Linked DNA regions of Caenorhabditis elegans. The protein of the gene in region 2 purifies or fractionates together with the protein of the main gene of each other region. This does not show direct contact. Each region holds a gene or a part of one and is shown on either strand. Other genes may lie near its edges. The genes, in order: prp-38 and ncbp-1.

Region 1 (3,926 bases), on a different chromosome or scaffold from region 2:
TTTTATGTATATAGGCTTTTAGAACATGGTTTTTTCTATCCATTTATCTATTTTTAATGTTTAATAATCTTCATTATTAAGGATTTTAGCCACAGTCTTCGTTCTCATCTCATTTTCCATCGCCCCGCCCCCTGTGGAGACGCAGAGACATTTTCTAGCGCGCTCTATTGCGAAACATTGTCCTCACAGTGTGCAGTGCTGAATGCTTATTAGAAAAAATAATCTCAAATGAGTAATGTGTGCCGCGGTCTTGCAAACATTTGCGCGGGGGTATTGCAATTGTGTCCCGAAACCACGCCCACTGGTTATTCGAAAAGCGGTGGTTTTGAAAATAAAGGTTGTATCATTGTTTTTGTTTCTCCAGTTTCCTTTAAAAGCAGAATAATTTATTCACTCTGTACTTTTCCTATTTTTCTTCCAAAAAGATAGTCTTGAGCCACTCTAATAGTCTTGTTTTAAAGAAACATGTCTGCAAGCGTTTCCGATCCGTATGAACAAATGCCAGCTGCTCCAACAGATGATGATCTCGGTTTGTTGGTAGTTAAAATAATTAAATAATAAATTCTTAATTCAGAGGACAAACCGGAAGCCGACAAAAAAGCATTACTCAATCAAGTTTTTAAATCGTTGAAAAGGGCACAGGATTTATTTTATCACGATTATGCACAGCCACCTCCAATGCCAGAAGAGAAGTAAGTTCCACATTTTCAAATTGTTTTCCTTGATAACTTAAAAAAGCTTAAATCTACAAAAATAATTTCAGTGACAGTCTAATTCGGTCAATGAAAAGAAAGCACGAGTACGGTAATGTTATTAAAAAAGTAGAAGAAATGAAAGTGAGACGAGAAAATGAAATGCTCGCTCTCCCAACATCGCAACCGATGCACGGTACAGGATCAGTGATCGCATCAGCTGGAACCCCATTGGCTATCACAGATGGATCAGGAAAACTTGTTAATCAGCAACAAGGATCAGCAAAAAGTGGAACACTGCTTCCTTTGGTTCCACTTGGTAACAGTTCAAAAGGAGAAGACAATACAACTCGATCGCTTCTTCCTTCAAAGGCGCCTATGATGATGAAACCAAAATGGCACGCTCCATGGAAATTGTATCGTGTAGCTTCGGGACATACAGGATGGGTCAGAGCAGTTGATGTTGAACCGGGAAATCAATGGTTTGCTTCTGGCGGAGCGGACCGTATTATCAAGATTTGGGACTTAGCGTCTGGACAGTTGAAGTTATCATTGACTGGTCACATCAGTTCTGTAAGAGCTGTAAAAGTTTCACCAAGGCATCCTTTCTTGTTCAGTGGAGGAGAAGATAAACAGGTAAGATAATTTGTCTCTAATTAGTGATCTGAACTTCCAAAATGTGTTTTTAGGTTAAATGCTGGGATTTGGAATACAACAAAGTGATCCGTCATTATCATGGGCATTTAAGTGCCGTCCAAGCTCTTTCAGTACATCCATCTCTTGATGTTCTAGTCACCTGCGCTCGTGATTCTACAGCTAGAGTTTGGGATATGAGAACAAAAGCTCAAGTCCATTGTTTTGCTGGTCACACAAACACCGTCGCAGATGTTGTGTGTCAATCAGTTGATCCACAAGTAATAACTGCTTCTCATGATGCGACAGTTCGTCTATGGGATTTGGCCGCTGGACGTTCTATGTGCACATTAACTCATCACAAGAAATCAGTGAGAGCTCTGACAATTCATCCACGTCTCAACATGTTTGCTTCTGCTTCCCCAGATAACATCAAACAGTGGAAACTTCCCAAAGGAGAATTTATGCAGAATCTTTCTGGACATAATGCTATTATCAATACACTGTCTTCCAATGATGATGGTGTTGTTGTATCAGGCGCTGACAACGGATCGTTGTGCTTCTGGGATTGGAGATCTGGTTTCTGCTTCCAGAAAATTCAAACAAAGCCTCAACCAGGATCAATAGAATCTGAAGCTGGGATCTACGCTTCGTGCTTCGACAAGACAGGTCTCAGGCTTATTACCGCTGAAGCTGACAAGACAATCAAAATGTACAAGGAAGATGATGAAGCAGTTAGTTTTGGAAAAATATATTTTACATTAAAATTTTTTTTTCAGACAGAGGAAAGCCATCCAATTGTTTGGCGACCAGAAATTGTCAAAAAGAAGGCGTACTAAAATATTTTTTACCTGTGTTTCTATTTATCTGTTAACTTACACCTGAAAAATAAAAAATATATTCTCAACATTTCTCAGATGCAACAATACTATGACCGTACATAACGGTTTCGATATCTTTCCACCGTTAATACTTCTATTGTTTATAAATTAAAAATTCAGATGGCAAACCGCACAGAGAAAGCGGCGAAAACCGTCAAAGGTACAAATCCCCAGTTTCTCGTCGAAAAAATCATCCGGCAGCGTATTTATGACAGCATGTACTGGAAAGAGCACTGTTTTGCGCTCACAGGTAAGTTGTTCTTTGCTATTCACTAATTTAACATTATTTTTTTAGCTGAACTGGTCGTGGACAAGGGAATGGATCTTCGATACATCGGAGGTATCTACGCAGGAAACATCAAACCAACTCCTTTTTTGTGCCTCGCTCTCAAGATGCTACAAATTCAGCCGGACAAGGATATCGTTCTTGAATTCATTCAACAAGAGGAATTCAAGTATATCAGAGCTCTAGGAGCAATGTATCTTCGACTTACATTTGATTCAACCGAAATTTACAAGTATCTCGAACCATTATATAATGATTTTCGTAAATTAAGATATATGAATAAGATGGGTCGATTCGAAGCTATCTACATGGACGATTTCATCGACAATTTACTTCGTGAAGATCGCTATTGTGACATTCAACTTCCTCGTCTACAGAAGAGATGGGCTCTTGAAGAAGTAGACATGCTTCCGTCATATAAGTCACTTCTTGATGGTGATCTTGTTGCAATGAGTGATTCTGATTCTGAAGAGGAAGAAGTCACAAAGAAGGAGAAGCCACGTTTGACATCTAGAAGACGTAGTCGAAGCAGAGATCGCGAAAGAGATGTTGGTGATCGACGAGAAGTTCGTGAACGAGAAAAACTGAAAGAACGAAGAGAAAGAGGAGACGATGAGCCAGGGCCAAGCAGTAGTGGTAGTGGTAGACGTGATGATAGAGATGACAGAAGAAGAGATCGTGATAGAAGCCGGGATAGAGATCGTCGAGATAGAAGAGGTAATATTTTTAATCAAACATTCTATGGTTTTCTGATAAAAACTTCACGGAAATCTGAATAATCCCAGATTTTATTTTGGTTTTATAGATATAGTCAAGCATGTTCATTTAGATTAACCAGAAAAAATTATGTTGTCAATGTATGTTTTTAAAGGTACCATGTCATGAATAATTTATATTTGCAGATGATGATCGTCGTGATAAGAAAAAAGAATCTCGTCGAGGTGGTGCAGACAACGATGAAGAACGCGAAATCGCAGAAGCGAATGCACTCCGTGCCAAATTGGGATTGGCTCCACTCGAGCGATAAATCTGTTTTTCTCAATATTCGAGCCTCGTTCTAAGTATTAATTTTATTTATTTCATTCACATTTTTCGTCCAGAAAAGGATACATTCTCTTTTATTCCGACAATGAATCCTAATAATTGAACACATTTTTTTTTGCCAAGAAATTGTAACCCGCCATATTTTATATTTCTAAGCACCAAACACATCGACTTGTCACCCACTTTCCAAAAAAAAAGCGAAGAATTAAAACGTCATGTAAGGTGCACTTTTCTCTTTTGTCCGAAACTGCAAAGCAAGAAAAAATGAGGACCAATCGGAAGTGGGCAAAAGTTCACTTCTTCCCACCTTCTAAAAAAGCTCTTATTTACTTGCTCAAAATTTTCATTCAATGTCATTCGAAAAACTTCTGATGAATCTTCCCGGGCATA
Region 2 (3,926 bases):
AGATTTTGGGTACAGAAATGAGAAACATCACTTTTTCAACCCTCTTTTGTACACTGTATATGGTTGCTTCGCCGATTGATTTCAAGGAGCCGCATTCGTTTAAAAAGGTCTCGCCACGCGCGCTGCATGTATGAACAAAGATTTCTGCACGCGCCCTTTGAAGTTACTGTAGGAAATTTTGATCGATTTTTTCAACTTTTTTTTGCAAAACATTTAATACTATAGTCACTTGTGTTGTAGAAGACAATTACTCATATGTCTACAGTAATCTTACAGACTCGCACACAAAATAACTGTTTTATGAAGGGAGCGCGGTGAGACCCAAGGGACAATTAAATCAAATAATATCATTGCTGAACTCTTCAGACTCACTCTTGATCATCATCATCAATTGCATCTTGTCTTCGAAGTATTGCTCTATTTCGTTTTTCTGCATCTCCACGAGCACTGAAACTTCTTGTCAGATTTCCACGTGTCACTGAAGTGGATGGACTTTGACTTGGTCGAATTATCACTGAACGGACACGTTTGAAGACTCCTTGACGGTGGAAAAACTCTGGAAACTCGGATAATTTTCTATAAAATATTCAAACTGTAAATGTTCTCACCTGAACTCATTCTTAAATATATCTATCTCAGTTTCAGTAAAATCTAGAAGTATCTGTTCGTATAGTCCGCCAGACAATCGACCATGTCACGGCTGGCGTCTTTTGTTTTTCTTTGAAATTTTCAGAATCATTTTTTCTATTGCTCTGCTTCTTTGTGTTCATATTCGTGTATATGTCGTCTGTGTGTGTGTGAATTTTTATTTACAGTCATTATTTTTGTGAATGGGAACAAAGTGGAGAACGGGGTGAAAAATGGAGAGGGAAGAAGTGGGTGAAGAGACAATTTACAGACAAAAGTTCTTTTGAAAAAGAGTCGAAAAATTACATGTAAATTGGGAAAGAACGTGTAAAAGTAGATAATTGATACATTATTTGCTCGTGCGGCTGACGACCCAATCCTTTTGACACAGTGGGCATCTGTTGTTCTGTCGAATCCACTGAGTCATGCAACAATGATGGAATGAATGATTACAGTCTCCCCACACTACGTAGCATTCAGCACTTGGTTCAGATTGACAACGAAGACACTCTTCTGAAAAAAGTTGTTCATAATTATTGGATTAAATCTCATTCTGGTAGTGTGGATCTCCTGCTCCCTATGCATATTTTTAAAAAATGTTGATTTTAAATATATATTTGCAAGCTAAAAAAAAAGGACAATATATTTCAATTTCGACATAGTTGTATATTACCTATTCTGTTCACGAAAATTTGCGTGTTTTTTACTTTCAAAGCAAGCACTTTTGCTTGTTCCTGAACTTTTAAATACAAATATATCTTTCAAAAGAATACTTTTTGAACATATCACTAAAAAAATTTAGCTGCATATGAGCACTTCGAACTAGTAAAAAGTCGATCTGAACTTTTTCAGTGCATTTTTCCACTTTTTTCAAGACCTCTAGAAATGCTCCAAAATATTTTTTTTCGTAAGTTTGTAATGATATTTAGGGGTAGAGAAATATTATGGAAGATTTCTGTAGAATTGTGTTTTTTTAGAGAAAAAACTGAAAATTTTTTTAAACCAAAAACCATCATAAAATTATCTGCGACATTTTTATCTCACAAAATATCAAAAAAATAAGTTTTGTTATATTTTTGAAGCGATTCAACTTTTTAACCACTGAATTAAATAAAATTTACCCATTAAATGTACTCTGCAGATTGCACATGTGTCACATTCAACATCCCAGGCCCAAACAGCTAACGCATTCCATTTTTTGAGCACAAAAGGACGACTTTCAGACGGATTCGCGGTTTTTTGCTTTCTGAAAGTAATTTATATTTCGAGAATTTAATTGAAATGGAAATAATTGACTTACTGAGCACTCGTACTTCCTTCTTGTGAATCTGCATTGCTTGAATTGTTCATTTTTTTTGCAATAATTTATTGATTTATTGAAATTATTGGCAATTTAAGACCGGTTTTGTTTTTTGCTGCATAAACAGAAGTGGCGTTGAGAAGAAGAGGCGCAGAGATGTCAGACAGTAACCTACGACACTGCGCTGTTCCACACGCGCGCCTTGTTTAGAATATATTCAATTTCGAATTTTCCATCGGATTTTTTTGCGATTTCTCAAGCAAAACCAGTGAGATTTAATCAGATTTTGTTCGAAAAACAACGAAAATGTCGCGGAGAAGGCAATTCGATGGTAAGCTACTTCCTGCATTGTTTAAATCTTGTTTAAAAAAATTAAATGATTTTCAGATGAGGATGAAGTTCAAATGAAAAGACGTCGCGGGGCTCCACTAATCGAAGATGTAGAAAAAAAACTGCAGGGAGTCATCGGAAAAGTTGGAGAGGTAAGACATAAAACATCAATTTCCAACCAAAATATGTTGTTATAGAATACTGGCTCATCGATCGAATGCAATTTGGATAAACTCACAGCTTTTTTACATGATGATCTCGAAAAATATCGGGCTTCAATTATTGATATTATTGCTGGATGTGCCATCTATCTCCCAAATCGTGTTACTGTATACACAACTCTAGTTGGTCTGTTGAATTCAAAGAATTTCAATTTCGGAGGAGACGTCGTAGAAAAATTAATTTCTGAGCAGCAAGATCTTCTTTCAAAACAAAAATATCAAGAGGCTCAAAATCTTGCTATTTTCCTTTGTGATCTTGGAAATTCTGGAGTGCTCACAGCTCAATCAATTGGAGAATATTTGGAGAGCTTCATTGCAGCTGCTTTTGAGGAAAACATGCCTCAAGTTCGTAATGATTATTATATCCAAACAGTTCTTCGTTGTCTTCCATGGATTGGTAAAGAATTGACTGAAAAAGCTCCCGAGCAAATGGAGAATATTGGAGAAGCGATTGGAAAGTATCTCGAGTTGAGAAATAAAAATCACGTTGCGGTAAGATTAATATTAAACTTGTTAATAACTAAAAATAATATATTTTTAGCTTCTCCAAGTTTGGCGGGAAGGCTCGACAGATCAAAAACAAGAAGATTATCTCGAAAGTTTATCAGCTCAGATTGAAGCTCTTCGTAATGCGGATTGGGTTGAAAATCACATTCCTCGACATTATTCTGGTTTTGAAACCACCCTTCAAGATGCCCTCCAACATAATTTGCCAAGTTTTCAATCTCCAGAACATACCTCGGATATGATTTATCCATATCCACTGGTCGTTTTCCGTCTGTTTCAAGACGCGGATTGTTCCGCCTTTTCTGTAAGTGCAAATTGAAACTGTCTAAACTGTTCGTTCATTTGTCTTTTTAAGCAAGGAAATATCTTTTTTATTTACTGAAAATTATTTCAAAGGGTCTATTATAATTTTCAGAGTAAACCCCTTCCCGGTGATAGTTCAATAGATCGTTTCCTCTTCGAAGGTGAAATCGCTTGGATCATTGAAAAAAATCAATTTAATAGAAAAGCATGTGCTCGTGAACTTCTCGCTTTCGCAGAAGAGAATCCATCTGTTCCTATTGGATTCCTTATTTTCGAAACTATTTTCGGTCAAATGCTCCGTCTACCACATGCCCCATATCCAGCAATATTTCATTGTAAGTCAACATTCTTCATTAAAAGTCCATTAAACCTCGATTTAGCGGGGGTTTAATGTAGAATCCAAATAACTAAATTATATTTTCTTTCAGGCTCTCTCGTTCTCGAACTGCTAAAGCTTAAACCAGACGACTATCCACAGATTCTTGTTCAAACTGTTGAGTGTATCTATCGGCGCGCAGATTCAATGCAACCAGTTTGTATTGACAGGTAAATTATATTTCAAATTTCATATTTCAATTTTATTTTACAGAATGGTTGATTGGTTCAGTTTCCATCTTTCTAATTTCCAATATCGATAC

The links.
Region 1: the proteins of ncbp-1 (region 2) and prp-38 fractionate together in Caenorhabditis elegans (co-fractionation; one large-scale study listed by BioGRID). This does not show direct contact.

The regions. Positions count from the first base shown.
Region 1 is NC_003283.11:10,804,435-10,808,360, reverse strand, and holds prp-38 (Pre-mRNA-splicing factor 38), read left to right. Parts: upstream 1-2,326; coding exon 2,327-2,456; intron 2,457-2,501; coding exon 2,502-3,209; intron 3,210-3,394; coding exon 3,395-3,519; 3' UTR 3,520-3,640; downstream 3,641-3,926. Other genes in the region: plrg-1 (Pleiotropic regulator 1), read left to right, coding at 466-529, 575-692, 764-1,328, 1,382-2,059, 2,105-2,164; secs-1 (O-phosphoseryl-tRNA(Sec) selenium transferase), read left to right, coding at 3,887-3,926.
Region 2 is NC_003279.8:6,419,873-6,423,798, forward strand, and holds the start of ncbp-1 (Nuclear cap-binding protein subunit 1), read left to right. Parts: upstream 1-2,185; 5' UTR 2,186-2,233; coding exon 2,234-2,258; intron 2,259-2,314; coding exon 2,315-2,409; intron 2,410-2,454; coding exon 2,455-2,970; intron 2,971-3,019; coding exon 3,020-3,289; intron 3,290-3,400; coding exon 3,401-3,623; intron 3,624-3,716; coding exon 3,717-3,834; intron 3,835-3,877; coding exon 3,878-3,926. Other genes in the region: rbx-2 (RING-box protein 2), read right to left, coding at 977-1,140, 1,749-1,873, 1,928-1,977. UniProt on the Caenorhabditis elegans protein: Component of the cap-binding complex (CBC), which binds cotranscriptionally to the 5'-cap of pre-mRNAs and is involved in various processes such as pre-mRNA splicing and RNA-mediated gene silencing (RNAi).